Struthio camelus: one gene and its partners. The protein of the gene in region 2 binds, or shares a complex with, the protein of the main gene of each other region. Links are inferred from orthologs where the notes say so. Each region holds a gene or a part of one and is shown on either strand. Other genes may lie near its edges.

Region 1 (7,949 bases), on a different chromosome or scaffold from region 2:
CCCCACTGCCTGTAAACCCAGTCCATTTTCAGCATTCCTCCAATGCCAACGCATGGCCTAGAGAAGTTTTGTTAAAAGCCTCTGGGTGTGGTCCCCTTACAATACTTTTTCCCTTTTGGTCTGCCTGAATAAGCTGGAACAAGGGTGAAAAGATGACTTCCAATTTCTTGATCAGTGCTGGAAATTTCTGATAACGTTTAGAGTAGAAAATGGAAAGGGAAGGAAACAATGAAGTATTAAAACTTGTGCATTTTTTTTATTTTTGTATCAACCAAAGACTAAAAATTGTTTCAAAAATATACAGCCCTCTAAATGTTGAAAGATGTCCCTGTTCTGCTGCTAGCTTATTTAAAATGAATCTTTAAAACAGTTAAACACAAAATATTTTGTTTTATTGTGGGCACTTCTAACCCACCCACCACTGAAACGATATGTTAGATCTATAGGAAATCTAATTACAAACCTCTCTGATTTGTTGCTTTTGCTATATACTTTCTTCTATCCTGCAACTTCTCCCTCGTTTCTTGGACTGTTTCAAATTCTGGAGCATAGCACACATGCAGCAAGCTACCAAAGAAACTTCGTTCGTCCATTTTTTTCTTGGCCACCCTGAAGGAAATTAAACTGTATTAGCAAAACCAAGACTAGCACTTCAACTGTCTGGAATCTTAACAGATTACAAACAACTAGGGTGTAAAAGAGTAAGAAGAAGGCAGATACTGCCCTATACGGTACCTTGCACATGGCAGTTTTTGGAATTTTATAAGATAAACCTCGGTAAACTGCTCTGCTGGATATTCATCTAGAGCATGATACTCATCAATGGCACCATATAATGCAAATTGTTCAACTAATTCCTTCATGACACCTAACGCAGGAACTCCTTGTATTAGTAAGTAACGAGATTCCAAGTTGATAGTGTAAACCTGAAAGAACAGAACACAGTATTTTAAAGTGTTTATATTCTTACTTTAGTGCAAAAGTAACAATTCCAGGAATTTCCTGTACGTTGTCTGTTGCTCCTCAAATCCTCTCAGAACACTGAAAATCCTCTGCGCTCTATTTAGATTTTGGCAGTAGCAGTAAGCCAGGACCTTAGCAAAAAGGTAAGTGCAGAGTTTTCTGGGACTTCTCCATCACTGAGAGGGACTGAACTCATTCCTGTTACTCAAAAGTAGAATGCAAATTAGAGTCGGCACTTTCTCCACCAGGTCATAAGTTTTATTCAGCAAACAGCAGTACTTCAAGTCCCTAGATTTCCTTGCAAGACTGAATCGTAGCCAATTAGTATGAGGCACTGTCAAAATAAAGAACAAATCCTGTAAAATCTTTACCGATCACAAGGCAGAGAGGCAAAGCAGGCAGAAAATACTTTGATCCCTTTGGGCACATCATGTGTGTACAGAGCTGCCTCTGCTGCAGTGATCAAACAAGATACATTTTTGAGAGACAGATACGTAAATCAGATGCTGAGAGCAGCAATGTTTTCCCTGGCAGGTTAGCAGAAATTCCTTTCTACTTTGCATAATGACTGTAGCAGAACAACACAGGAAGAAAAATCCAAGGGAAGCTCTGACAGCTCAGTCTACGTAGAGCAGGTTGGTTACTGTAAGATTTAAAAAATATACATGAATTCATTCAAAAACATTTAGACTGCATGAGATGCACATCCTTCTCAAAAGCCAGCAAATGCAGGACCAGAGGGAACCAGTCAGGAAATCAGCTCTCAAACCACCGTCATAAAAAGGTACCCTCTCCAAATAGCGTGCAAAAATTGTTCTCGTTGACAACAGCTTATTCCTAGCCGTTCTCCTTCCCAAGTCAGCCCTAAAACATACCTATACTGCACACAGTATGTTAACTACACACGCAAAAAGCAAATGCAGCCTTCTCCAGCCCAGTGTAATGAGAAATTTCAACTATAATGTGTGCCCTTCCCTGAATCTTACCAGGAGCAGATGCGTGTGACTACATAAATACAAGAACAGCCTTGTGCATCTAAGCCCTATTGAGTTCAATGACATTGCGTACCCAACTCTGTTAGCTAATAACTGCAGCATTCAGCTGCAGAAGTCTCTTTACACTCCACTTAATCATTTTTGTATTTTTATGTTTTGCCTAAGACTGGACTACTTGTGCCACATGCATTTCTAACCAATTAATTTACAAGGTACAGTTTTGAGGTTACTAGATTTACTGGACTCACATCCACCAGTTCCTGCTAGTGCCTACTGCTTTTGTGCATAAAAAGGAAACACGCTAAGGCTGCAAACCCTTCAGGGCAGGGGCTACTCATGCTGCACAGCTGTGCGCTCCAGGCACAGCGCAGGACACTGAACGAGCACGGCAGAGGGCCATCAGGATGCGGTAACTGCCAAAGTAGACGGTATGTCTCAAGAACTGGAAGTAAAGTTCTCCAAAGCTCAGCAAAGTTCCTGCTGACTTTGAAAGAGCCGCTTCCTCTCGGCCGACAGGTGAGAAGGCAGGCCGACTTCTGTCAGGGGAGCGCCTCACGCTACGCCCGCCTTCAACCCTACCGGAGCCGGCACACGATGCGCCGCAGCAACACGGCGGAGGAGACGAACCGCAGAAAAGCCCTGAACGGAGACAAGCACCAAGAAGCGACACAAGCACAGCCCGCGAGGTCGGGGCGCTCCTGCCGACGAGCTCACGGGACGCAGGCCCGCCCTCCCCCCACAGCAGCCGCGCCTGCAGCCGCGGCCGCCGCGCCGCGCCGCGCCGCACGGCCGGACCCGCCGGCGCAGCGCCCGCTCCGAGGCGGCCGCGGCCGCAGCCGCCCCGGGGGAGCGCGGACGGCCCGCTCGCACGGCCGGGCCCGCGGCCGCCTCACCTTCACGGCGCGCGGCCTCCGCCCCTCGCGGTACTTGGCGCGCGACTCGCAGGCCCCCAACTGCGCGTGATGCCGGCAAGCATCGCCCAGGGCGCTGCCGGCCGCCGCCATCTTCCCGTCGGTCACTGCGCCCCACGGAGGTCGCTCTAGCCGCTGCCCGAGAGAGTAGCCAATGAGGCAACGGACAGAACAACTGCCTTACTCTCATTGGCTCCGACTAGGTGGAGCTCGACGGCATACGGAAGCCAGACAGAACAAGCTGAAGCCCTCGATAGAGCAACCAATCAGAAAAAGGGAATGAGTATATGCCGCGCTCCCATTGGCTGGCCGTGGGTCATACTATTGCCCCGGGGGGGGGGGGAGGGATCTCGGGGAGGCCTAGGCTGCCCGCCCTCCTCACGGAGCGCTAGGGCGGAGCGGGCGCCCGGCGGCGGTGGCGCCCGGCTGCCCGCCCGCCAGGATGTGGGGCAGCGGCAACCCTGGGGGAGGCGGAGCTGGAGTCGCCGCGGTGACAGTGGTCCTCAGCGGGAGCCGGGACTGCTTCCTGCACCTGCCTCCCGTGCTGGCCTCTCACCTTCGCCTGCAGCAGGTACCGGCTAGGCTCCGCTCGGGGCCTGGGCGAAGGGACTCCTGGGGCGGGGAGGATTGTGGGAGAGCAACCTCTCCTCCCTCCCGGCATCCCGTTGCCATGGCGATACGCAGTCTCCCTCCCCCTCCCCCTCCCCCGGTCCCCATCACTGCTGACGTCACCTCTCCCCTACAAGCTGTGTTGTCGCCATGGTGACAAGGCGCGCGCGCGCCTCCCCCTTCCCCCAGGTGGTTGGAGCCCTTCCCGGAGAGGCAGCGGGAAGCCCCGCCCCCCCCCCCCCCCCCCGGCCTGCCGCTGCCCCAGCCCCAGCGCCGCCGGGGGCCGCCCGCGGCCTTCCCCGCCCCCCGCTGCCCGCGGGCTGTTGCTGCCCCCCTCGTACGGACAAGATCAGGGGTGTGGGAGGCAGTGTTTAAAGTCAGTCAGCCCTGTGGCTTCCCGTAGAAGCGCGTAACTTACGCTTCGTACCGCTGCCGTCCAGTCGGGCCGCTGCCTGCCGTCAGCGTGTCTGGACGGTTCACAGCGTCGTGCCAAGGTTTCTGACCGTGTTGTCATGCGTTCTCCTTGCTAAAACAAAAAAAGGTGGGACTTCGTTATCTCTGAACTTAGTCTTACACCACCTGCATGTTGTCATCTACTTTTCTCTCAGCACTGCCTATTTTTATACCTTTCTTTTGGCAGTAATCCATGCACCAGCATTAACTGAATAACATGTAAATTGGATCTTTCAAGTAGTAGCTAAGATGTTAAATCTGTGCAGAATCATAGTTCTTGGTGTACCTAAATATATGTTTTGCTGTGTAGTTCTGTACAGAAATACTTAATAGGGCTTTGGATGATAGGAGGTATGCGAATCAGTTGCAGGAAGCGTCCCTTATGTTTTTATTAACATCTCACACAGGAAAACACTAGCAAGGCCTGTGAGCATCCATTGTGCCAGGTAAAGAAGTCAATAATTTAAAAATTGTTAACAGAACAGATCACGTATGCAGAAAAAAGACACCATAAGAAGGAGCAGGAGAAAAGGAGAAAATCAGAATGGAGTTTGAGAATGGAGCAGGAACGTGCAATCCTCTTATACCTTCTGCAGACTGGAATGTGCTAACTTGACAAATAATCACATGGAGATTTATGGAATAGCCCATAACATCATGCTAATTTCCTGAGGTCAAGAAAGACGTATCACAACAGCAAAATTATCTAGATTTGTAAGAAGTTACTATTTTTCCTTCAGAGTGCTAAAAGAGAGATTAAAGGGGCATTGGTAAACTGTGGGGATGAACAGGTTCCTGTTACAAAAAATTCAGTGTAAATGTTAGCTTCGTTTTTGCTACAAATCTGCCTTCAGGAGATAGAAACAAGGAGTGCAATTTCTTTACAGTCTTACAGTTTCATCCTGTAGCTAGGGCTTACTTATTCGTATAGTAGTCTGAGCAAAGTCAGTATAACATTTTTTTAAAAATATTTTCCAACTCATGAAAGCACTCTTAGAGTCTGTACTGAATATATTAAAGTGCATGTGAAACTTAATCATATACGTATGTTTTTTTCCCCCCATATGAGAGATAAAAATGTGTAGTTATACATTTCTATGGGATATTTGGTTGGTAGATTATCATGCAGAAAAAGGGGAAGAAGATATACTTAAAATCGACTATAAAAATTGAAAGCTGTTTAAACATTGAAACCAACAAGAAATTCTGTGTTGGAAGCTGTGCAGATAGCTAACACGGAGAAGAATTCTGAGGAAAGTCTTGATGATGAAGTTGAGCAGTCCACCAGAGCCAAAAATTTTCCATTATCATTAATAGAAACACTATAAACATTGTGTATTACAGTTTTGGAATATTCATTAAAATTGGGCAGGTAAAATCCATAAATTATTTTGAATTTCTTTCAGCTCTCTAATCAAATATAAGCTTTAGTTTCAATAAGAGTCATTTTATTTAAGTTGTTTGATACTAATTTATTCTATTTCTCTGAAACTAATAGGGCCAAGCTGTGAAAGTTTCCGGCGGTCATCAGCCTATATTTTTGAGCTGGATGGAAATCAGGCATCGAGGTCACCAGGGTGAAAATATTGCAGAGATTAACAGACAATTAGCAGAGAAACTTGGCATTACCGATGGAGAACAGGTTTGAAATGCAATCTCGCGATCGCTCTCTCTTCCCCCCCCCCCGCCTTTTTTTTTTAAACATGGAATGTATAGCACAAGATCCCTGAAGAGATAATGGTTTACAAGCTAACTATCAACTGGCATCTTGTTTCGTGTGCACTCATCTCCAAGTTACTTTGTTAATATCTGTCTGATGGAAAAAGTTCACCTTCATGAAGCATGTCTCAACCATGAAAAGATTTGTTCATAAAATCATTACAATTACCTAAATGATGTAAGGATAGGCTTGTGGGTAGGTTTTTGCAGGGTTGGAGCCACTCTCTGCAGTGACGTTATTTTTAGGAAAACATAATTTGCAGTTAAATAAGTTGGGAATTCTTTCATTAAAATATTCTGCCTGGAGTTCCTGTCATTGTTAAATAATTATTGACTTGCTCTGTATTTCTTCTTATTTGACTTATATTGGATTTGAATTGTCACCCTCTTATTCTCCCTTCACCCTATAGCCCCATGTCCTCTTTCTTTGAATATTTATTTAAATTGGCCTACTGTTTTCTTACTCTTGGACAGTGTGTTCAACAACTTCTTTAAATGATTCTCTTAGTGTAGAGAAGTTGGATAGATGCCCAGGAGACAGCCAAAGATATGCGTCATGGGACTCTTAACATTTCAGCATCCAAGATTCTTTTATCTTAATAGGTGAAGAGTTAAATCAACAGGAGTAGAAAAGTACTGTTCTGCACGATATTACTGTGTCATATATTCATATATGCGTATTCTATTATGTAGAAAATCTTATTCAACAAAATAAACCACATCAGAGGACATGGCTTGAAGCAGTGTATTACATTAGCATGTTTACTTTTTTACTAGATTTACTAGTTCAGTGGCAAGGTAAGTGGCCTTTTCTGTTCTAACAATTAATAGCCTTCAACAGAAAAAAATAAATAAATCGACAAAAGAAGTTTGAGTAAAACCTTACGTAGCTGTTGTCGGGAAATAATCATCTATACATCATGAACGATTAAGTAGTTTCACCACCTTTTTGACCTCAAAGTACATGTTTGCTGTGTTTCATAGTTATATGCTCTTCTGTTTACCACATTTGGGAAAAGGTATTTCCTCACACCTTTTGCTTCAAACTTGAGGACCCACAGGAATTTAAAATCAATTATTTCAGATCAGTTTTTATAAAAGTAACAAATATGTCTCAGAGGACAGGTAACTAGAGATAGTTTTATCTCAGAAGAAGTTTATTTGAGTTTATTTAAAAATGTATGGCCTTATATTGTTTGAAAATTGTTATTTTCTGAAATAATGAACCTTTGGTAAAATTAACTCTTGAAATATATATTTAAGACTCTTGAAAAGATGTATTTTCCCTAAGCCACAACAGCTTCTATAATTCTTCCTGGTACACAGGACCTTAAAGCTGTTATGTGGAAGTGGGGATGCTTCCTGTGAACCCACTCATTGAAGAACTTGGTTTGGTTTCATTGTGTGTGTGTTTTTTGCTGTTGTTATTGTTTTGTATTTTTTCCTCTTCCATTTCTTCAGCTATTTCTGCCTTATGTAAATTTGTGCACAATTGGATGAATTTTCCTAGAGTGCGGAACCTTTTTTTAAAAAATAATAAAAATCCAAAGAAGCTTGTGTGATCAAAATGCTTTAAAATGGATTGTTTTATATCAGCTGATACAGTTCCTGATGCACTTCTCATTCACTTATGTTCATGGTGCATCAAAGCGCCAAGCATACCCAATGCAATCCATTTCCAATGCACTGAAATTTCATCTTCTGCTAATAAGCTTAGCTAGTGCCATTAAGATAGCGTATATTCAGAGTAATGAAAGCATAACGGAGATGTCTGTTGTCTGGCTGAATTAAAGATGGATTTTTATTTATTAAAAGCAAGGAGTTAAATACTTCAAAATGGTTTTACATTTGTCAGGTATTCCTTGAACCCTGTTCTCATGTCTCTTCCTGTCAGCAAGTAGAAGTGGAACCACTCTCAGCAGATGATTGGGAAATACTGGTAAGAAAACTCTTTTTGTTTTTCACGTCCTCTTCCTTACAGATGACAAAGATGTCAGGTATATGTAGTTTTCAGCACAATCGCTGTCCTTTACCTCCCCGAAGGAAGCAATAAATGTGGTGGGTTTTTCATAGTATTTTGTCTTTCAGATGGTATATTAGAAAGAGACATAGAGTTTTTATCCTCAAACAAATCTTAAATATTTATGAAGGATTTTATTTCTAATGATAGTAAATTTTCATAGGAACTGCACGCCTCCTCTCTTGAAAAACACCTTCTTGACCAAATTCGAATAGTATTTCCAAAAGCCATCTTCCCTGTATGGGTTGAACAGCATACTCACGTTTACATCAGAATTGG
Region 2 (7,840 bases):
GGGCACCGCCCCACACACACACCCCCAGCACACCCCACCGACAGGGCACCGCCCCACACACACCCCCAGCACACCCCACCGACAGGGCACCGCCCCGCACACACACACCCCCAGCACACCCCACCGACAGGGCACCGTCCCGCACACACACACCCCCAGCACACCCCACCGACAGGGCACCGCCCCGCACACACCCCCAGCACACCCCACCGACAGGGCACCGCCCCGCACACACACACCCCCAGCACACCCCACCGACAGGGCACCGCCCCGCACACACCCCCAGCACACCCCACCGACAGGGCACCGCCCCGCACACACACCCCCAGCACACCCCACCGACAGGGCACCGCCCAGCACACACACCCAGCACACCCCACCGACAGGGCACCGCCCCGCACACACACACCCAGCACACCCCACCGACAGGGCACCGCCCCGCACACACCCCCAGCACACCCCACCGACAGGGCATCGCCCCGCACACACACCCCCAGCACACCCCACCGACAGGGCACTACCCCGCACACCCCCAGCACACCCCACCGACAGGGCACCGCCCGGCACACACAGACCCCCAGCACACCCCACCGACAGGGCACCGCCCAGCACACACCCCCAGCACACCCCACCGACAGGGCACCGCCCCGCACACACACACCCCCAGCACACCCCACCGACAGGGCACCGCCCCGCACACACACCCCCAGCACACCCCACCGACAGGGCACCGCCCCACACACACACCCCCAGCACACCCCACCGACAGGGCACCGCCCCGCGCACACACCCCCAGCACACCCCACCGACAGGGCACCGCCCCACACACACACCCCCAGCACACCCCACCGACAGGGCACCGCCCCACACACACCCCCAGCACACCCCACCGACAGGGCACCGCCCCGCACACACACACCCCCAGCACACCCCACCGACAGGGCACCGTCCCGCACACACACACCCCCAGCACACCCCACCGACAGGGCACCGCCCCGCACACACCCCCAGCACACCCCACCGACAGGGCACCGCCCCGCACACACACACCCCCAGCACACCCCACCGACAGGGCACCGCCCCGCACACACCCCCAGCACACCCCACCGACAGGGCACCGCCCCGCACACACACCCCCAGCACACCCCACCGACAGGGCACCGCCCAGCACACACACCCAGCACACCCCACCGACAGGGCACCGCCCCGCACACACACACCCAGCACACCCCACCGACAGGGCACCGCCCCGCACACACCCCCAGCACACCCCACCGACAGGGCATCGCCCCGCACACACACCCCCAGCACACCCCACCGACAGGGCACTACCCCGCACACCCCCAGCACACCCCACCGACAGGGCACCGCCCGGCACACACAGACCCCCAGCACACCCCACCGACAGGGCACCGCCCAGCACACACCCCCAGCACACCCCACCGACAGGGCACCGCCCCGCACACACACCCCCAGCACACCCCACCGACAGGGCACCGCCCCGCACACACCCCCAGCACACCCCACCGACAGGGCACCGCCCCGCACACACCCCCAGCACACCCCACCGACAGGGCACCGCCCCGCACACACACACCCCCAGCACACCCCACCGACAGGGCACCGCCCCGCACACACACACCCCCAGCACACCCCACTGACAGGGCACTGCCCCATACACACCCAGCACACCCCACCAACAGGGCACCGCCCCGCACACACACACCCAGCACACCCCACCGACACGGCACCGCCCCGCACACACACACCCCCAGCACACCCCACCGACAGGGCACCGCCCCGCACACACCCCCAGCACACCCCACCGACAGGGCACCGCCCCGCACACACACCCCCCAGCACACCCCACCGACAGGGCACCGCCCCGCACACACACCCCCAGCACACCCCACCGACAGGGCACCGCCCCACACACACCCCCAGCACACCCCACCGACAGGGCACCGCCCCGCACACACACACCCCCAGCACACCCCACCGACAGGGCACCGTCCCGCACACACACACCCCCAGCACACCCCACCGACAGGGCACCGCCCCGCACACACCCCCAGCACACCCCACCGACAGGGCACCGCCCCGCACACACACACCCCCAGCACACCCCACCGACAGGGCACCGCCCCGCACACACCCCCAGCACACCCCACCGACAGGGCACCGCCCCGCACACACACCCCCAGCACACCCCACCGACAGGGCACCGCCCCACACACACCCCCAGCACACCCCACCGACAGGGCACCGCCCCGCACACACACCCCCAGCACACCCCACCGACAGGGCACCGCCCCGCACACACACCCCCAGCACACCCCACCGACAGGGCACCGCCCCGCACACACCCCCAGCACACCCCACCGACAGGGCACCGCCCCGCACACACACCCCCAGCACACCCCACCGACAGGGCACCGCCCCGCACACACACCCCCAGCACACCCCACCGACAGGGCACCGCCCCGCACACCCCCCCAGCACACCCCACCGACAGGGCACCGCCCCGCACACACCCCCAGCACACCCCACCGACAGGGCACCGCCCCGCACACACACACCCCCAGCACACCCCACCGACAGGGCACCGCCCAGCACACACCCCCAGCACACCCCACCGACAGGGCACCGCCCCGCACACACACCCAGCACACCCCACCGACAGGGCACCGCCCCGCACACACACCCCCAGCACACCCCACCGACAGGGCACCGCCCCGCACACACAGACCCCCAGCACACCCCACCGACAGGGCACCGCCCCGCACACACAGACCCCCAGCACACCCCACCGACAGGGCACCGCCCCGCACACACACCCAGCACACCCCACCGACAGGGCACCGCCCCGCACACACACCCCTAGCACACCCCACCGACAGGGCACCGCCCCACACACACCCCCAGCACACCCCACCGACAGGGCACCGCCCCACACACACACCCCCAGCACACCCCACCGACAGGGCACTGCCCCACACACACACCCCCAGCACACCCCACCGACAGGGCACCGCCCCACACACACCCCCAGCACACCCCACCGACAGGGCACCGCCCCGCACACACACCCCCAGCACACCCCACCGACAGGGCACCGCCCCGCACACACAGACCCCCAGCACACCCCACCGACAGGGCACCGCCCCACACACACCCCCAGCACACCCCACCGACAGGGCACCGCCCCACACACACACCCCCAGCACACCCCACCGACAGGGCACCGCCCCACACACACCCCCAGCACACCCCACCGACAGGGCACCGCCCCGCACACACACACCCCCAGCACACCCCACCGACAGGGCACCGTCCCGCACACACACACCCCCAGCACACCCCACCGACAGGGCACCGCCCCGCACACACCCCCAGCACACCCCACCGACAGGGCACCGCCCCGCACACACACACCCCCAGCACACCCCACCGACAGGGCACCGCCCCGCACACACCCCCAGCACACCCCACCGACAGGGCACCGCCCCGCACACACACACCCCCAGCACACCCCACCGACAGGGCACCGCCCCGCACACACCCCCAGCACACCCCACCGACAGGGCACCGCCCCGCACACACACCCCCAGCACACCCCACCGACAGGGCACCGCCCCGCACACACACCCCCAGCACACCCCACCGACAGGGCACCGCCCAGCACACACACCCCCAGCACACCCCACCGACAGGGCACCGCCCCGCACACACACCCCCAGCACACCCCACCGACAGGGCACCGCCCCGCACACACACCCAGCACACCCCACCGACAGGGCACCGCCCCGCACACACACCCCCAGCACACCCCACCGACAGGGCACCGCCCCGCACACACAGACCCCCAGCACACCCCACCGACAGGGCACCGCCCCGCACACACAGACCCCCAGCACACCCCACCGACAGGGCACCGCCCCGCACACACACCCAGCACACCCCACCGACAGGGCACCGCCCCGCACACACACCCCTAGCACACCCCACCGACAGGGCACCGCCCCACACACACCCCCAGCACACCCCACCGACAGGGCACCGCCCCACACACACACCCCCAGCACACCCCACCGACAGGGCACTGCCCCACACACACACCCCCAGCACACCCCACCGACAGGGCACCGCCCCACACACACCCCCAGCACACCCCACCGACAGGGCACCGCCCCGCACACACACCCCCAGCACACCCCACCGACAGGGCACCGCCCCGCACACACAGACCCCCAGCACACCCCACCGACAGGGCACCGCCCCACACACACCCCCAGCACACCCCACCGACAGGGCACCGCCCCACACACACACCCCCAGCACACCCCACCGACAGGGCACTACCCCGCACACCCCCAGCACACCCCACCGACAGGGCACCGCCCGGCACACACCCCCAGCACACCCCACCGACAGGGCACTGCCCCACACACACACCCCCAGCACACCCCACCGACAGGGCACCGCCCCACACACACCCCCAGCACACCCCACCGACAGGGCACCGCCCCCCGCACACACACCCCCAGCACACCCCACCAACACGGCACTGCCCCGCACACGCGTTCCCACGGCGTGCTGAGTCATCGTGCCCGGGCCCAGGCGTCCGGGGACCCCTCCTCCCCCCGGGGCCCAGGCGTCCTGCCCCCCCCCCCCCCGGGTGCCCGGCCGTTACCTCAGGGCCGGCTCGGCCGCCTGGGTCCCACCCGCCTTCCCGCGCCGGGGACTACAATTCCCAGCAGGCAGCGCGCGGTCGCCGCCGTCATGACGCCATGACGCCATGACGCCAGGTCGGCAGGTCGCCTGGCGCGTGCGCGGCGGGAGGGGGCGGCGGGCGCGGGAAGGAAGATGGCGACGGAGCGGCCGGAGGCGGCCGCGGGCCCCGGCGCGGGGGAGTTGCCGCCGCCACCGCCGCCGCCGGCGCCCTACGCCGCCTGGGCCCCCGCCGAGCTGCAGGCCACGCTGGCCGACATCGGCGCCCCCGCGCAGGGTCCGCCGGGGCGGGGCGGGGGCCGGGGGGGTCTGGGGGTCAGAGTTGAGGGTATTTGGGGGCAGGCCGGGGGGGCGTTTGGGGGCTGGGGGGGGCAGGCCTTGAGGGGGGGTTGGGGATGGGGGTGTTTGGGGGCTGGGGGGGGTCGGGGGGGCAGGATTTAGAGTATTTGGGGACAGGCCGGGGGGCGTTTGGGGGCTGGTGGGGGCAGGCCTTGAGGGGGGGTTGGGGATGGGGGTGTTTGGGGACAGGGATGGGGGTGTTTGGGGCCTGGGGGGGGGTCGGGGGGGCAGGATTTAGAGTATTTGGGGACAGGCCGGGGGGCGTTTGGGGGCTGGGGGGGGCAGGCCTTGAGGGGGGGTTGGGGATGGGGGTGTTTGGGGGCTGGGGGGGGTCGGGGGGGCAGGATTTAGAGTATTTGGGGACAGGCCGGGGGGCGTTTGGGGGCTGGTGGGGGCAGGCCTTGAGGGGGGGTTGGGGATGGGGGTGTTTGGGGGCTGGGGGGGGTTCGGGGGGGCAGGATTTAGAGTATTTGGGGACAGGCCGCGGGGGGGATAGGGATGGGGATGGGGGTGTTTGGGGACAGGGATGGGGGTGTTTGGGGGGAGTTGTAGGAGTATTTGGGGCAGGGACGAGGGGAGGGTTGGGGACAGGGATGGGGGTATTTGGGGGGAGTTGTAGGAGTATTTGGGGCAGGGACGAGGGGAGTTGGGGACAGGCCGTGGGGTATTTGGGGGGAGTTGTAGGAGTATTTGGGGCAGGGACAAGGGGGGGGTTGGGGACAGGCCGTGGGGGTTTTGGGGGGGAGTTGGAGGAGTATTTGGGGCAGGGACGAGGGGAGGGTTGGGGACAGGCCATGGGGGTATTTGGGGGGAGTTGTAGGAGTATTTGGGGCAGGGACAAGGGGGGGGGTTGGGGACAGGCCGTGGGGGTATTTGGGGGGAGTTGTAGGAGTATTTGGGGCAGGGACGAGGGGAGTTGGGGACAGGCCGTGGGGTATTTGGGGGGAGTTGTAGGAGTATTTGGGGCAGGGACGAGGGGAGTTGGGGACAGGCCGTGGGGTATTTGGGGGGAGTTGTAGGAGTATTTGGGGCAGGGACGAGGGGAGGGTTGGGGACAGGCCGTGGGGGTATTTGGGGGGAGTTGTAGGAGTATTTGGGGCAGGGACGAGGGGAGGGTTGGGGACAGGCCGTGGGGGTATTTGGGGGGAGTTGGAGGAGTATTTGGGACAGGGACGAGGGGAGGGTTGGGGGCAGGCCGTGGGGGTTTTGGGGGGGAGTTGTAGGAGTATTTGGGGACAGGGACAAGGGGGGGGTTGGGGACAGGCCGTGGGGTATTTGGGGGGAGTTGTAGGAGTATTTGGGGCAGGGACGAGGGGAGGGTTGGGGGCAGGCCGTGGGGGTATTTGGGGGGAGTTGTAGGAGTATTTGGGGACAGGGACGAGGGGAGGGTTGGGGACAGGCCGTGGGGGTATTTGGGGGGAGTTGTAGGAGTATTTGGGGCAGGGACGAGGGGAGGGTTGGGGACAGGCCGTGGGGGTATTTGGGGGGAGTTGTAGGAGTATTTGGGGCAGGGACGAGGGGAGTTGGGGACAGGCCGTGGGGGTATTTGGGGGGAGTTGTAGGAGTATTTGGGGCAGGGACGAGGGGAGGGTTGGGGACAGGCCATGGGGGTATTTGGGGGGAGTTGGAGGAGTATTTGGGGACAGGGACGGGGGGGGGGGTTGGGGACAGGCCATGGGGGTATTTGGGGGGAGTTGTAGGAGTATTTGGGGCAGGGACGAGGGGAGTTGGGGACAGGCCGTGGGGGTATTTGGGGGAGACTCGGAAGGGCATTTGGGGACAGGGATGGAGGTATTTGGGGACACTGGCAGGGGGATTTGGGTGGGGGGGGGCATTTGAGAGCAGGTTTTGGGGTGGGGGGGAATTGGGGTCCCTCCGGGGGTATTGGGGGTCCCTGACCGACGGGTGCCCCACAGGCAGCCGGGAGGAGCTGGTGGAGCGGCTGCAGACCTACACCCTGCAGGTGAGCCGCCCCGGCACCCGCGGGTGGCCCTGCGCCGGGGCACCCTCGGGGGGGGTCAGCCCCTCCTCGTCCCCCACGTGGGTGCTGCCGTGTCCCAGCGTCCCCCCGGGTGGGGGTCCCCCATGTTCCAATATCCCCCCCCAGCTGGGATCCCTGCTCCACATCCCCTCCCACCATCTGGAGTGCAGTCCCTGTGTCCCCTCAGGGTGGGGGGGGGTCCCTACACCCTCCCCCGAGGCAGGGTCCCCAAATCGGACACCCCATCACCACGTTCCCCCCCCCCCCATTTTGCACCCCACAGACAGGCATCGTGCTGAGCCGCCCTGTGCTCCGGGCAGAGGAGGGCGACAAGGCGGCGCAGCCCCCGCTGCCGGGGCAGGTAGGGCCCTGGGGTGCCCTGTGGGGGGTGGCGGGTGCTGTGGGGGGCAGGGGGGGCTCTGGGGTGCCCCATGGGGGGCGGTGGGTGCTGTGGGGAGCAGGGGGGGCTCTGGGGTGCCCCATGGGGGGCGATAGGTGCCATGGGGAGCAGGGGGGACTCTGGGGTGCCCCATGGGGGGCTCTGGGGGGCTGTGGGGGGCCGGGAGGGCCCTGGGGTGCCCCATTGGGGGCAGCGGGCGCTGTAGGTGGCAGAGGGGGCTCTGGGGTGCCCCATTGGGGGAGTGACAAGTGCTGTGGGGGTTGGGGGGGCTCTGGGGTGCCTCATTGGGGGGCAGAGTGACGGTGGGTGCTCTGGTGGCAGGGGAGGGCCCTGGGGTGCCCCATGGGGGGCGATGGGTACCATGGGGAGCATGGAGGACCCTGGGGTGC
Region 3 (7,301 bases), on a different chromosome or scaffold from region 2:
TAGATAGGATTTGAGAGAGAATAACTCAATTTTCTGTTTGGAATTTTTTCTGAGTGGTTTGCTCCAGATTCTGGTATCCCCAGGGACCGCTTTGCAGGGTACAACCAGCAGATACCATCAAGTGCAGCAGAAGCACAGCTTAGCTGCAGCTTTATACTAACCTACACACAACTTGGCAGTGGTTCATGCACAAGTGGTGGTATACAAATCCTTCCTGCAAACTCCTCCAGAATAGACAGGAATGAATTTGAGACAGCTGTAGGCCTATGTTCTTTGGGATCAAAGCAAAATGTCCTTTTCGGCTATATCAATATGAAGTGCGGCTATATCAATATGAAGTGTGCAACACACTGGCCATATAAATTTTTGCTGTGTCAATCAAGAAAAGTTGCTTTCAGCAAACCCATACCATCAGGGTTTCCAACTGCCAAGGTTTACACCAGCTGATAAGAAATGACAAAAGATTTAAGTTCTAGTGGTAGGAAAATTAGTGCCCTACACCGCATACTGTGCAAGGCAAATATTTGTTACTCTTGTGCTTTCTTCCTCTTCTTTTTGCCTCAAAATAGGGGAAACGGCTGCACTCACAGTGATATTGCTGGTGTCAGTAAGAAACAAACCCAATGCTCCTCCTAAGCTTTCTCCTCCGTTATAGCGCACACTACTCTGCCTCTCTACCTTTGCCTGTAAACAACAAAAAGCAAGAGAGTCACAGCACAGACGGATTGATTCAAAGTACACCCTTAAAACCCCTACATATTACTTACTCCATCTCATAGACAGTAACCGGTAACGTCTGTTCCATCAAAGAAAATTTTTTAGTTTTCACGGGTTTAATAATAGGCTCTGAAAACAAGAGAAAGTACAACAAAAATTGTTATGAATGACCCTGAACAACAGTGTTCTCAGAAATGCTAATACTAAACGGGGATTTTTGAAGATAGAAACACAATTTTCAAGCTGAGAGATTCTTTTATCTTTTTATGGGAGAAACAAATGAGATGACTTAAACATATTTTCACATCTCTTTAAATAACCTTCTAGTGTCTGCCAATGTCTGCTCTTCAAAAGATAGTTTGTTTGGCATTTGCAGTAATCCAGAGTGCCAAAATCTGGACACTGCTAGACAAACAGGAAGAGTCTATGCATTTTAGAGGCTGTGAGGGTTTTTAAGAGGGATGTTAAAAGTCATGGGGAATGGGGAGAATGGAAGGGAGTAATATGTTCCCTTTTCCAAAGATCTGCTAAGAGACTTCTCCTCGCTCCACACCCAACTCACTGCTTTACACCACTTACCAGTGAGAGGCTGCGTATCTTCCTCTTGTACTATTGTTTCTACTTCAGGCCCATAGACCTCCTCAGCAGTGGGATAGTACTTCTTATCCTCATGCAGCACCACCTCCATCCCAGGGTGGTCCTCGTCATGGTCTCCCATATCATCATCCTCATCATCATCCTCGAGCTGCAACCAACACTCACGTTTAGCTGCTGCCATCCCCCAGGGCATCAAACTGCTTTATAACCCTCAGTCTCCCCAGAAAGTCTTATAGGCCTTGGCATCATACAATAAAAAAAAGCCATAAGCCCACATACAGCCAAAGAGCCACCGATGATGACAACCCCGGCATATTGCAACCAACTGCAGCGCGATTTGCAGAAAAGATCTCCATAAGCAAGATGAATCTTCCCACCGCGGCACCATTCCTAAAAGCCACAGGCCACCTTTAAAACTACAGCATTTGCAGTGATGCCTGCACGGAGAGCAGCTCTTGTCCTTCATTCACAAACACAACAGACACCACTTTTTAGCTGTAGGAAGACTAGACTGGGAGGGGCTTCCTAGCTCCTCCAAACCTTTCACTGACATGGCACAGCAGAACGCCCCCTTCTGCTGTCCTTATAAACACTGCCCATATCTCTGCTCTGGTGTCCACAGTGTCTTACACTGTGCCCATCACTGGGGAATTGAGCTCCTTACAATACTGCCATAGCATTAGTGTATATTAAGAAAGGACTAAGAGGCAGCCTAAGGACCTTACTGAAAGGATCTGGATCTTCTGATTGAGTACAAAGTCAAATATGGCTTGAACTACCTAAGATTGTAACAGAGACTCAAGCAGAAACGGTATTTCTTTCTCTTTAACACACTAACAGGAATGCAGCTTTTGCTGGATTTTTTTTTTTTTAAATCAACTCTGTTACTATCATTAGGAATAAAATAGGATCAGAGTCCATCACCGAAGAAAGTTTTTTGCAGAACCAGGGCCTGGCAGGGAAAAGGAATTGCTGGCAGCTTGTGATGACCATGGGTTTGGCTGGGGGCTCAGTGCCTGCTCCGTGCGGCCCTTTTTGCACCCAGCATGAACAAGGCGAGTAATGGGCAGGACAGCGTGCATGCAAAGCTCCCCCCAGACTCCAAAGCTCAACCCATCCCCATCCCTCACCTCGTCCAGATCCTTGGACTCTCTGCCCAGCTCATCATCGTCATCATCAGAGTCCAGCTCCGGCCCGATGTAGTTCCCAAACTCGTCGTACAGGTCGGTGTCCATGCTGCAGGGTGGAGGGACAGGGACGCGGATCAGCGGGTGGGTGGTGATACTGCTGCGTGCACTGCCCTGCACTGACCCCATCCCCGGGACTGCCCCACACCGGGACCCCCGGCCCGCTATGGCCTGCACTGATGCCATCCCGGTTCTGCCCTGCATTAGGACCCCCGGCCTGTTACGGCCTGCACTGCCCCCCGTATCGGTTCTGCCCTGCACCGGGGCTCCTCGCCCGGTGCGGCCTGCCCCGCCCCGGATCCCCCCATCCTGCTCCGTGCCCCGGAGCCCGGCGAGGCCCGTGTCGCTCCCGGCCCTGCCCCGGGGCCGCCGGGCCGCCCGGCCCCGCTCACCCGCCGCGCGCTGCCCTCGCCGCCGGCGCCGCGCGCCACCAGGCCGCAAGGACCCCAGGCTGCCCGCGCCGCCTGACGGGACAGGCCCGCCGGCAGGGCCGCGGGGCCGAGGCGGGCGGTGCCGCGGGGGTCCTGGCGGGGTCTCGGCAGCCCCGGGCCGGGCCGGGCCGCCCGGCGCGGCGGGGCGGGCCGTTTCTGTCAGGCGCCGTCCGGGGCAGCCCCGAGTCGGGGCCTCGCCGCGCTGCCCTGTCGCCATGGCGACGCTAGGGGCGCCCGCGCGCCCGGTGGGGAGCCCGGTCCGTCGCGACAGTCGCGATAGGAGCGGGTGTGCCTGACGCCGGCGGTGCGCTCAGCCTGGTGGAGCTGTCGCGGTACGAGTGGGTATCCCTGAGGCTGGCCGCGTGCTCGTCTTGGTGGGGCTGTCGCGATAGCAGCAGGTGTCCCTGACGTCGGGGGTGCGCTCAGCCTAGTGGGGCTGTCGCGATATTAGCAGGAGTCCCTGCGGCCAGCAGTGTGCTCAGCCCGGCAGGGCTGGCGTGGCAGAAGCAGTCGTCCCCACAGTGGGCTGTGGGCTCAAACCAGCCCATCGTGCTTGTCACGATATGAGCGGTTGTCCCTGTGTCCCCTCAGCCCTCAGCCTCCTTCCTGGCGGGTGATTCCTCCCTCTCGGGGCCCCACCATCCCGCCCGCTGGCTGGACCCCTTCCCTGCACCCGTGTCGGGTGCCGCTTAGGCCCTGCCGCGGGTGCTGGCCCCCTGCCCAGGGGGCTGCTCCACCACCATCGCCTCGGCAGCCTGGGCCCACGCTCTCCGTTGCTCCTAGGTGCACAATGGAGGCAGACGGCGCGATCGACTTCAGCGCTCTGGAGAAAGAGCTGCGAGCAGCCGTGGCTGCCGACGAGAAGTATGAGAGGGAAAACAGCGCCAAGTTCCGGGCCGTGCACCAGAAAGTGGCATCTTACGAGGAGTTCAGGTCTGCCGAAAGCTGTCCTCGCAGTACAGAAGTCCTTCTTCAAGGGAAGTTTTGTTTTATTTCATGTCCTGCAGAGATCTGTTAACTTCCTCTGCTGTATTCCCTCGAGTTTAGAGGGATTAGGATTGAGCGGGTCAGTGTCACTTTTCTAACTCGCCAGTGCCCAGTGCTTGGCTCTCGATATTCCTGACACAGAGCCAGCACAACCCCATGAGTGATGGTGATTAATTCTGAGACCTCTTAGAGACAGGCCTAAGCTCACTATACACTAATGTGGTCACCCAACTGTTTTTGTCCTGACCTCCTTCCTCCCCTCAGGCTCTCTCAGCCCCACGCAGTGATGGCAGTACAGAGGGACAAGGTGATACATGGTCCCCAGCACCCCACTCAGGGTATTCTTGCTCCCAAAGTCATCATCACGCAGCCAGAGCTCTGAGCAGGGTTGAAACATGGTCCTGGGATGGCAGGCAAGCTCCTTGGAGGCAGGCAGCACAGAATGCTCCAATTGCCACCCCAACTGTAGCTGATCCCCACTGAGTTCTCGCCCACTGATATCCACAGCCAGATCTGTAGATGGATCCAGGAACTTGAGCACCCTTGATAGACTGATCCATGACTAGAGCAAATTGCATTCATGGTCTCACCTCCACATGCATTCAGTCATGCTATCAGATCTGTGAAAGGGAAGGAAAATTTTGAAATGGTATTTTCTCTTCTGTCTTCTGGTCCCTATAAAAGGGTTCCTGTGAACATGTTTCTATGCTGCAGAGTTCTATCAGTGTAGTATTCGTTGGTTAAAGTATAGGGAAAAAAAACCCTGCATTCCTACTCTGTCCACAAAATCTGCAATGCAGCTGTATTATTAAAGATAGAAGTAATCTGAGGGAGGTAACAGAACAGCTTCTATCTGTGGGTGCTGTGCCTTTACTAGAGAGGCTCACTAGCATAGTAGCAGGGACTGCTCAAAAGATCTCCTCCAGCTAATTATTGTGAGGCCTAACTAGAGACAGAGGTTCATCCCATGAAACAAAAGGAACCACATGAGGCATTGAGTCCGGGCTGGTGTGGTCATAGACATCAGTGTAATAAGACACTGAATTCAAATGAATCCACAAAAACATAACCAGTCCAGCACTCTGCAAACTACAAAACAATCCCTAGGCGCTGTAGAAAATTAGGACCTTTCCCGTGAAAGCCTAAAAGTGACAAAATCTTCAGTGTACCGTAAGAAAAGGGCAGGACAAAAGTGTCCTGCCATTTCTTTGGGCCCTGGCTCTGGCAAGGTAAAAATGTCAGAAATGCCCAGCTCCTGTTCCCCATGCTGGGGAGGTACCATCGTAGTGCTCTAGAGCAGTCCAGCCTCTGGGGAAATTCCTGCTTAGTTGATCCTGATGATTAGGTTAATACTGAGTATGTGAGCAAGATGTACCTGCCAGGTGCCCCATGCGATATCCTCTCTCTTCCTCTGATCCATCAATGATGCTTCATGATCTGATTTGAATCCAGATCTTGTTTGATATGTATCATGCCACAAACTCAGAAATTGCCAGCCTCACAGCAGGCACTGCAGAAGAGACTCAAAGCCTGGAAGCATTTGATCTTGCTAAATATCCCATTCCTCTTCTGTTGCCTGCAGGGATATCGTGCTGGCATCACACTTGAAGCCTCTAGAGAAAAAGGACAAAATGGGTAAGCAAAGAAACCTGCTGTGGAATCCTTGTGCAACCCACACTAAAGGAGAGCAAGTCAGCAACGTGGAAATAGCCCAGGTGAAGGAGACATTTTCTGGGACTTTGTCCACATCTAAAAATTACTCCGGAATAATGTGGGGTATTATTTTAAAGTGCAAGAGTTATTCAAAAATATTTCTACCTGGGAACAAGCCCTCAAAATCCCCAGAAATACTGGAATTAGATAACTTCAGGGTTCAGTCTTGGCCCCTATTTTGTGTCTGACAAGGACTTGCACCAGCTGCTTCAAGAAGAGGCTATTTCAACTGTTTGGCAATCTAGGACCAGCTGTACAGTGTCAGAGGAGAGCTCCCAATATCCCACCTCTGATACTGGCCAGTAACAGATTCTTGGGGAAGAGTGCCCTCCCTTGTCCATACTCTTCCAGCTGGCTGCAGTTTAGAGACTGAGAGCCAGTCTGTGCATGAGGATTGTCACATTTAATAGCCACAGATGATATATCTTCTGTGATATGGCCTGTCCCTTTTCACCTCACAGTGTAATTATGCATGCTGTGAAAAAGTACTATTTTGTTTGTTTTAAACCTACTTCCTGATGAGTTCCTGGGATGCTCCTTAGTTCTTCAGTTGTGGGAAATAGTAAATAAACATTTCCTGTCCCGGTCATTTGTGATTTAACTGACACCTGTCCTACCCCCTTCAGTGGACTCTGTCCAAGCTGAAAAGTCCTGGTCAGTTTAATGCTTTCTGATATAGAAAGCATTTTGTACCTCCAACCACCCTTGTTGCCCTTCTCTTTGCCAGTGCTAGCTTATTTTTGTGCAAAAGGGTAGGCAAACTGCAGGCAGTATTCAAGGTATGGGTACCCTGTGGATTTATACAATCACAAAGCAATCATTCTGTTTTATTTTCAGTTGCTTTCCTACTAACTCCCCACACTGGCTTTGCCAGTTTGACTGCTGCTGAGCATAAGCTGATGTTTTCAGAAGACTATCCATGATGACTTTTACTGGCCCAGTGACACAGTGACAGGGATAATTTCTTGCAGGATGGGAGCTGCAATAGAGTCTATCCCTGAACATGTAGCTAGAGATATTTCCCGTGGATGCTTCTCACAAGCATCTCATGAATTTTTTGACAGTGAATCTCATTTGCCTGTTATTATGAGATCCTTCTGCAACTCTTCCAGGCAGCTTTAGATTTGGCTGCACTGAACAGTGATCCTCCTAGAGGAAATTCTGTTCCTAATCTCATTAGTGCTTGGGCTCTGATCTCCAGGGCATCTACATTTTGTATTTAAACACAGCCTGTTATTGCTGTGGCTTGTTTTCACTAGCTGTATAAAAGCCTAAACATTTTAATCCTACTTCAATCTGCGCTTGAGTTAAGTTGGCAGTGATGAGTTCAGCAATCTGATTACATGTTGGATAAAAAAGACTTCCTTTTATCTGGAGATGCCACATTGAGCATGTCTCTTTCTTTTAGTCCAAGCACATTACCACAGGCCCGTAGGAATGCAGTATGTAAGGAAAGGGCGTGCTAGGGGCATCAGAACAGTTTCTGGGTTTTACATCCCATATCTTTTATCTCCTCGTCCCTTTGATTTGCTTCATGGTGCTTGAGATGGAGCAGAGGTTTTCACTAAGTACCACAATCTCCAGCAGATCCCTTCCTGAGCAGTGACAGTGGATCCAGGCTCAGCAGTTCATCTGAGTAGTTCTGACTAGGTTTAGGGTTACTCCACTA
Region 4 (7,524 bases), on a different chromosome or scaffold from region 2:
GCAAAGGCTTCATGTTCGGTCCCAAGAACTTAAGGAGAAAAAAAAAAAAAAAAAGGTGAAAGGGGGGGAAAAAAAAAATCAGACAAGGGTCAAGAAGAAGTATAAGAAGGAGGAATTTGAAACAAAGGATGACTGCAAGAAGCTGGAAACACGAGTACTGTTAAATAAAAGAAATGAAGAATCCAAGCCTAAACCTGGGTAGGAATCACAACGCACTAGAAAGGATATATCTCTCATAAATGGTACGCGCCCTGTCCACCTCCTTGTATCTCAGCTCGAAGTTAATATAGGAATGCCAAGCTTGCTCCTCTGGTTGCCACTCCATCCAACGTTCAAACACCTGACGTGCTCCAGCAACATTCCCCAACATCTCTTCCATGTAAGTATACTTATACCTTAGAAAATAAGATCAAGTGTTTACAATCACTTAGTAAATGCTTAAAAGTACAATGACTTTTTTTGAGTGTTCAGTAAGAGCATTACTGAGATTTCTCCACCTGTTCACCACTTGCCCTCCAGAAGTGCCTATACTGTTGTGATTGGCAGCACGCAGATACACAAACATCCTTCTTCCACTACTGTTAACCACTTGAAAAGTACAAAAACTTTCTAAAACTTAAGCCTTTCCATTTTTGGGGATTAACTTGAAGAACTGCAGAAACAGAGAACACAATGCACTCTTGCATTATGCCTAAACAGAAAAATGAAACATGCTCTTTGAGAGTTAAAGCAATGCTTTACTCTCTGAAAACATACCAGAACTGGTTGACCCTGGGGAGGGTAGTAATGGCTCGATCCCAAATGTTGCGGGCGTGATTAACCTGGCGGTTCTTCATTTCCATTTCTGCATATTTCAGCCAGAGAGTGACATTTCTGTAGTCTACGTCTAAAGCACGTTCGTAAATGGAACGAGCTCTGGAAAGTAAAGAGACATTGTTGAAGTATGTTGAGAACATAACGTGCCTCTAAGACTTTCATGGTATTTGTCAGCATGCATCTAAAAAAGTTTAAAAGAGATGCCTGCAGCTACAGCATAATTACCTTTGTATTTCTTTTAGGCTTTCCTCCCATTGTGCGTACTTTATCCAGTTACTGATAACAGTTCTGTTTTTTCTTATGTTATCTTCAAAAGTCTGAGGAGAAAGTTATTTCTGTAAGTAGGAAATACCTCTGTGCAGAATGATCTTGTTGTAAACCCTTTACAGAATATTATTATAACTGGACTACGTTCCAAATATTATATCTATGCAGATGTTGAAACAAGTCATACTCAGTAAAACATTTTCCAAAAATTGAGTGACAGAGCAGCTAGAAGCATAAATCATCATTTAGATAAGGACTAAACTCAAGTTCCTGCAACTTAATACATAAAATACCGGCAGAATATTAACAGATAGCACTCAAATCTTTTCCTTTTTCAACCTCAATCTCCTGGTTAGCTATTCAATAGCAACGTTAACTGGACGTACAGAATCCAGTCACTGCAGACAACACTGAATGTATTCATATGTGTCAGCAAGAGTTTGCTCCCTTCGACCCATTTGTATCATTGTGCGCTCTCGTTCTCTCTTTTTTGTTTGTTTGTATTTTTACAGCAAGATGCATTATGATTATTCTTTCGATTTAAATATTCTGGTGCCAAACGTGCGAGACAAATTTCACAGCTTGGTGCAATGGTGAGGGCCTCTTCAGCGCTGTGGACTACTATCAAGAACGCTGCTATTGCTGTTTAACATATAGCTAAATATGGTTTAACACACACAGTTAACATGTGGTGTTTTGTTACTGCTCTTCACATGAGGGATGAGAAAAATGTAACATCAAAAACTGTTTTGGAGCGCTGTGGTGTTGATCATCTAACTCCAGTTGCCTTGTATGTGCCTGAGCAAAATGACATCACCATCTGGCACTATAAAGCCCTAAATTTTCATTAGGGCTCTTAAACATCTTGCTTAAATTAAAAAAAATTAACGTTTTAGTGCGTTATATGAGCAGCAACGTAAGGGATTTTTTTTGCCTTTACCTTCCTTTTGCGAAGTTTATAGTCATTTAGCTCCTCCTCATCTGTGATCTTCTGTTGAGGAGGTGGTGGAAGAAGTTCAAGCTCTCTCTCTTTTGCTTCTCTTAAAAGCTGTTCTGCTGTGATCTGAACTTCTGCAGGTGCTTTATTTTTCACCTGTAAAGTAAGGGAGGAGTTAACTTAAAATTTTCCATGTTAATGCAAAACTGAAACATCCCATCATGAGTAATTTAATCCAGGGACTTACTACGTTCAGTATTTACCAAAGCAGGATATGGGGCCCGACTGAGAAATAACAGGGTCTTAACGTGTATATTAGCCCAAAGCTACGTTGCTTCTGTCTGCAGCACGAAAAACAAGGAAAACTTTCTTGAAGTCATGGTGGGGCCACTCGGCGTGAGCCGCCGTGCTGCGACGACGACGACGGGCGGGCCCGGACGGCAGACGCGGCCGTTGCTGCCTCAAACGCCGTCTCGGCACGGCCGAGCCCAGCGCGCCTTCACCGCGGAAATTACGGGGATCGGTGCCGACTCTGGCGCTGGGGGGCGGGGAAGCGCTCGGAGCGCCGCCTGCCCCTGCCCGGCCAGACCGGGCGGCTGCCCCGGTCCCGGGTGGCTCCCCTGGCCAGACCGGGCGGCTGCCCCGGTCCCGGGTGGCTCCCCTGCCCTCCCCACCGCCGGGGCCGAGCGCCCGGTCGCACCTTCGCCACTTTCGGAATCCGCTGCTTCCCGGCCGCCGTAGACGCCATCTTGCCGCCTCTGCGCGCTGGCCCCGGCCCCGTTACCTCTGACCTCACGCAGCGCCAGCGCGCGCCGTTGCCGCGGCAACAGCGGCGTCGCGTCCTAACGGCCGCTCTGCGCGCGGGAGAAGCTGCCGCCGGGGAGGACAGCGAGCGCACGTTTCTCGCTCCGCCGGTCCCCAGCTTCCCTCGGCCGCACCGCTCTGGGAGCGCCACGAAGCGGGGGTCCCTCCGTCGCAGCCGGGTGAAGGTGAGCGCCCAGCGCGGCTGGGGGAGACGGGGTGCACCCCCACCACCCTAGCCCCGAACTACGCTTCCCAGCGCCCCTTGCGCGGCCAGGCTCCCAGCATGCTCCTGGCGGCGCGGCGCCCCCTGGGGGCCCCTAGGCATTACATGAGGCACGGGGTAGCCGCCGGGGCGGGCGTGTGCGGGGGGGGGGGGGGGGTGATGGAGCTGAAGTGCTAAAGTTGGGTGTTTGGTTGACTTTGATTTTATTCTGCCCCTAGAGTCTGTTTCAGTTTCTGAATTTGTGTAGATCCTTTCAGGGGCTACGTTGGGAGCCTCAAAGCTCTGCTCCTGACTTAAGGGCTGTTGCCAAATGCCTGAGATTAAAATGAATGATGGCTGTAAGAATGATCAAAATTCTTATTTATTGCATAGCAAAGTCTGTGCTGATGATGCATGGTCCAAGACATGTCAATATTCGTAAACAAAGCCATAAAAACCCATCGTGTCCTGTCCTGATTTTCCGTGCTGCTTTCGCTTGCTCATTAGTCAAGAGTGCTTAGCTCAGCTCTTAGACCTAGCAGCCTTCTTTCAGGGCATCTAAGCTTTACAATTTGGGTCTGGTTTTGTTCCTCTAAGCCTTTCAGGGATGGGACTGGTCAACATCCTTCATCCCTGTTGCCAGAGGAAGCCATTAATTCTTTCTTGGCCTGGTTCAGTATGGTTTGTATGTGCCATCTGCCATGGGTCTGAGCAATCAGGAGATGTCCTGTGGAAGTCTTGTGAGAGACATGCTTATGACACATTTGGTGTGCTTTGAGTCACTAACAGAATAGTTATCACTTGGGAATCCCCCCTGGGCTTAAAAGAGAATGTGTTAATTAATTAATTAATTAATGAGCTGGAGAGGAAATTATTACAAGAACTGGTTCAGAAAAGGAACAATTCTTTATCTGCTTGTTTTGCCAATTTTTCCAGCTATTGTATGCTGTTCTAATACAACTACATGAGTTATTATAGGAACAGTACATTTTGTTTTTATAAAAACAGTACATTTTTAAGGTATAAATGTTGCTTTCTGTCAGACATAATTGCACTAGTGTTTGAGGGGAGGTGGGCTGGTATTTTTCAATGTATGAAGCTAAACAACTAAATATGGAAATTTGGCCAGCTGCACTTTCCTCAGCTGAAGTAATCTTAATGCTGAAGTTAAATTTGTGAACAACATATAAAAATTCCTGTTTGCTTTGATTTATGGAGATGAAATTAATAAAAAATAACCGACTATTTAGATAGTCTCACAGTTTAAAGTTACATAATTAAATGTATAAGTGAATTATGTTAATTTTGTGTCTACTCATTTTAGGAACCATCCTTCACTTAGCCTTCATGTAATTGCTTCCACTCCACTGGAAATAATATACCTGTCTTACAACTTAAGACATTGGAGAAATTGCCTATGCAAGCTAGTATCTTTTTTTTTTTTTGGTAGATGTTATTGTCATGCTCCATATTAAGTAAGTATATTCGAATCTAAGCTGGATGAATGAGGCAGTTGAAGGGTAGTGACTCTAGCTATTTCTACACCAAGAGTTAAAAAGGGAGAATATCTATGATGCTTCTGTGTGCAGAGGAAAATGTTTCACTTACCAGACAGCTGGGAGACAGAAATTTCCCCTCTAGTCTTTAGAGGGAAAGTTCATGAGATTCATCTTTCTGCTCGGTACAAGAATGGTAGTTGTATGTTCCTCGGTATACCAACCGAAATTGGATTCTTTCTGCATAACAACAATTCCGTCCACTAAGCCCGTGCATTAAAACCTGCTGGAGACATTTACCTTCAGGTTGGTGCCAGGGCCTTTCTACAAACATAAATTTGCATGACTGGGACCGGTAGTATTACATACAATAATATCTTGACTATAGGTGAAAGATGTAGCAGTACACATGACTTTGTATATAAAAAGGATAAGATTCAGGATTTCCTTCATTATCTCATTTTAGCTGGGATTTGTAGAGCACAACTGGGTGATTGGCATCATATCTGTGTTTGGAGCCAATGTTGGAAATGGCTGTTATATTTGGTAGATTGGGAAAAGAGTTCTGCCAGTCTAGATATGTTAGCTATATTGACTTTTTCCTTTTTTTTTGAATTAGCAATGCTGTTTTACACATATATGTTGAAGGAATTGCAGTAAATGACTGTATTTGGTCCATTTCTGTATTTTTGCCTGCTTAATTTTTATTTCTGTTACAACGGGATATAACGCGTCCATACAGTATTGAGTGGCAACAAAGTTGAAAGATAAGTGAACTGTTAGTTGATAGTCACAGATGGGCTGACTGCCTATTGCCCTGTCTGTTGCAAAATTGATAGACATCTTAACAAATCACTTGGGACCTGACAAATTGTGCAAATGTGGAATCACACAAATGTTTTCCTTCTGGGCAGGGAAGCTATAGCGCTCTCAGTTCCTTCTGAAGATTAACCATCATTGTTGACTTAAAAAAGAAGTTCGAGGAGCTGTTTTGGACAAAATGCGCTTGGCTCAGTTGAGGTTACTTTTTAATATTATTATGTTGTTATTATTCTGATCACTTGAGCTGATCCTGCCAACCCTATAGACTGAAAACTATTAAGAATTTGAAATGACTAACAATGAGTACTGTTCTAATAAGTAGCCTGTGAATACCTTTAAATAAATAATAGATGCAAAAGTTTGTAGTCCATTAAAAAGACTTCTCTGTAGCATACAGAATATGTACAGTAGGTATGACTGCCTACTGTATTTCCACATGTGCACTGTATGCACACCATATCTAAGCATGCAGGGAGTAGTCATGTATATGTGCAGAGGCCTGCAGGAATTAGGCATTTAAATCCTGTTGCAGTCTTCCCAGTCTTTTAAAAAATTCCATTTCAAGTAACTACGTTCAACAGCAAGTTGCTGCAGGATCTGCTAGAACAGCAATGTTTTCTTTCTTTTCGTTACAGTCCATAAAATGACTGCAATAACTTCTTCGAGAGGAAATGCAGAAGTGGTCAGTATCAGAAGGACAGAATCACATGATATTCCTGATATTATCAACCTCATCAGCAATTCTACAGAAAAAGTTTTTGGAAGGATTAATGTCACATATCTTTTGTAAGTAACTATTTAGGGATGTTATATTACCGTTCTTGTAGGAAACTTCAAGAAACTGTGTTCTGCTTAAAAGAGCAGATAAACATTATGAGCCTTAACACGGTATAGCATAGTGACTTTTTATGCAATTCATCAAAGGGAAAGAAAATTTGCTTCCATCTCCTTTCTGCCACAAATGTGCATGACTGTGCCGCGTTGGAGCACTGTAGTGAATATAATGATCAGAATTTGACTATATACTACCCTGCTTTTTATAAAAGTTCGGAAGAAATACTTCTGAATATTACCTGATGAAACCGTTAGATTCCAATGTCTGCGGTCTTTTTCATCTAATTGAAGCCTTTTGTCAATTGGAGAGTATTTGAAATAGAGCGGCAGGGATTAGGGGTTTTGATCACTGTGTGGCCATGACCCTTCTATTCTCTTTGCTTGTTTATGTCTAAACATTTTCCTTCTCTGCCAGTTTCCCCTTAAGGAAAGGAGTTGTTAGGGATTTTTTTGCCTCTTCTGTTCTGCCTTAGGAGACAAGCTCTCTCCATCTGCTATAAAGTGCATGTTTCAATGTACCTCTTCCTTTGTTTCCTACCACTGAGATACTTAATATCCCCCATGTTAGAACATCTGTAGCCTAGTTTCTTGCCTGGCAAAACCATTAGCAAAAGCAGGTAGTTGTGGAAGCCTTCTGCTACAATATCTGCAGTGCTGGAGACTTTCTCTTCTGTGCGGTGATGTATAGCACACAGAGGCAGAGCGCGTGAAATGCTAGTGGGTCATTTCAAGTTTTTTTTTTTTTTTGCGCTTGTCTTTAAAGGTAAATAGATACTAAGTATTTGGGAAAAATAGAATTACGAGGAAAGATCCAAAGAAGAAGGAACGTTTAACTCTCGCATGCCAAGTATGAAGTAATTGAGGGTTACAAAAATTGTTTGAATTGTTATAATTTCAGGAACCACTAAGTCAGGACTTGGGTAATGAAGTTTTATTGAGTCCTGAACATCTGAGCTCTTTTGAATGTGGTTGATTTTACAGTTCTGACAGGCTGAATTATATGCTCAGTGCTGCTACGCATGCTAGTTAAGCTGAGTACATGCAAGTGCAAGGCTGGAGTCTGGAGAACTTGAAAACAGAGAGAAAGATGTCTAAAGAGAAAGAGGGTCTAAAATCTAGTGAGCTTTATTTTCCCTCTTTCCAACTGATAATTTATTGAGGGGGGAAACAAGGAAAAAATTGAAGAGGAGGAGAAAATAACATGAAACTTGCTTTATAAAGGGTTCTCCTTCTCTACAGAGATGTCAGTGAAAGACAAAGAAGATTCTTCTTCATTTAGTGCATCTTAAACAAACAGGTAGTGACATCAGAGGCAGATGCAAAGGGACAGATCGTGCGTATGTGTA

Evidence for each region.
Region 1: SF3B2 (region 2) and RBM48 share a complex: the UniProt entries of both Homo sapiens proteins name them as parts of the minor spliceosome. The link is inferred for Struthio camelus from reciprocal best matches to the Homo sapiens genes SF3B2 and RBM48.
Region 3: SF3B2 (region 2) and EFTUD2 share a complex: the UniProt entries of both Homo sapiens proteins name them as parts of the minor spliceosome. The link is inferred for Struthio camelus from reciprocal best matches to the Homo sapiens genes SF3B2 and EFTUD2.
Region 4: SF3B2 (region 2) and CRNKL1 share a complex: the UniProt entries of both Homo sapiens proteins name them as parts of the minor spliceosome. The link is inferred for Struthio camelus from reciprocal best matches to the Homo sapiens genes SF3B2 and CRNKL1.

Annotation. Positions count from the first base shown.
Region 1 is NC_090943.1:27,304,212-27,312,160, reverse strand, and holds the start of RBM48 (RNA-binding protein 48), read right to left. Parts: upstream 3,001-7,949; 5' UTR 2,963-3,000; coding exon 2,852-2,962; intron 1,492-2,851; exon of another isoform or gene 1,373-1,491; intron 927-1,372; coding exon 736-926; intron 610-735; coding exon 464-609; intron 1-463. Other genes in the region: peroxisomal ATPase PEX1, read left to right, coding at 3,312-3,440, 5,430-5,573, 7,506-7,589, 7,834-7,948. UniProt on the Homo sapiens protein: As a component of the minor spliceosome, involved in the splicing of U12-type introns in pre-mRNAs.
Region 2 is NC_090976.1:1,017,543-1,025,382, forward strand, and holds the start of SF3B2 (splicing factor 3B subunit 2), read left to right. Parts: upstream 1-4,840; 5' UTR 4,841-4,866; coding exon 4,867-5,008; intron 5,009-6,986; coding exon 6,987-7,033; intron 7,034-7,334; coding exon 7,335-7,412; intron 7,413-7,840. UniProt on the Homo sapiens protein: Component of the 17S U2 SnRNP complex of the spliceosome, a large ribonucleoprotein complex that removes introns from transcribed pre-mRNAs.
Region 3 is NC_090966.1:727,009-734,309, reverse strand, and holds the start of EFTUD2 (116 kDa U5 small nuclear ribonucleoprotein component), read right to left. Parts: upstream 3,001-7,301; 5' UTR 2,894-3,000; exon of another isoform or gene 2,822-2,893; intron 2,551-2,821; 5' UTR 2,550-2,550; coding exon 2,445-2,549; intron 1,463-2,444; coding exon 1,297-1,462; intron 847-1,296; coding exon 768-846; intron 1-767. Other genes in the region: CCDC103 (coiled-coil domain-containing protein 103), read left to right, coding at 3,723-3,865, 5,502-5,634. UniProt on the Homo sapiens protein: Required for pre-mRNA splicing as component of the spliceosome, including pre-catalytic, catalytic and post-catalytic spliceosomal complexes. Component of the U5 snRNP and the U4/U6-U5 tri-snRNP complex, a building block of the spliceosome.
Region 4 is NC_090944.1:145,285,267-145,292,790, forward strand, and holds the start of CRNKL1 (crooked neck-like protein 1), read right to left. Parts: upstream 3,001-7,524; 5' UTR 2,769-3,000; coding exon 2,721-2,768; intron 2,177-2,720; coding exon 2,024-2,176; intron 1,134-2,023; coding exon 1,042-1,133; intron 916-1,041; coding exon 757-915; intron 396-756; coding exon 229-395; intron 1-228. Other genes in the region: CFAP61 (cilia- and flagella-associated protein 61), read left to right, coding at 4,477-4,501, 5,980-6,130. UniProt on the Homo sapiens protein: Involved in pre-mRNA splicing process. As a component of the minor spliceosome, involved in the splicing of U12-type introns in pre-mRNAs.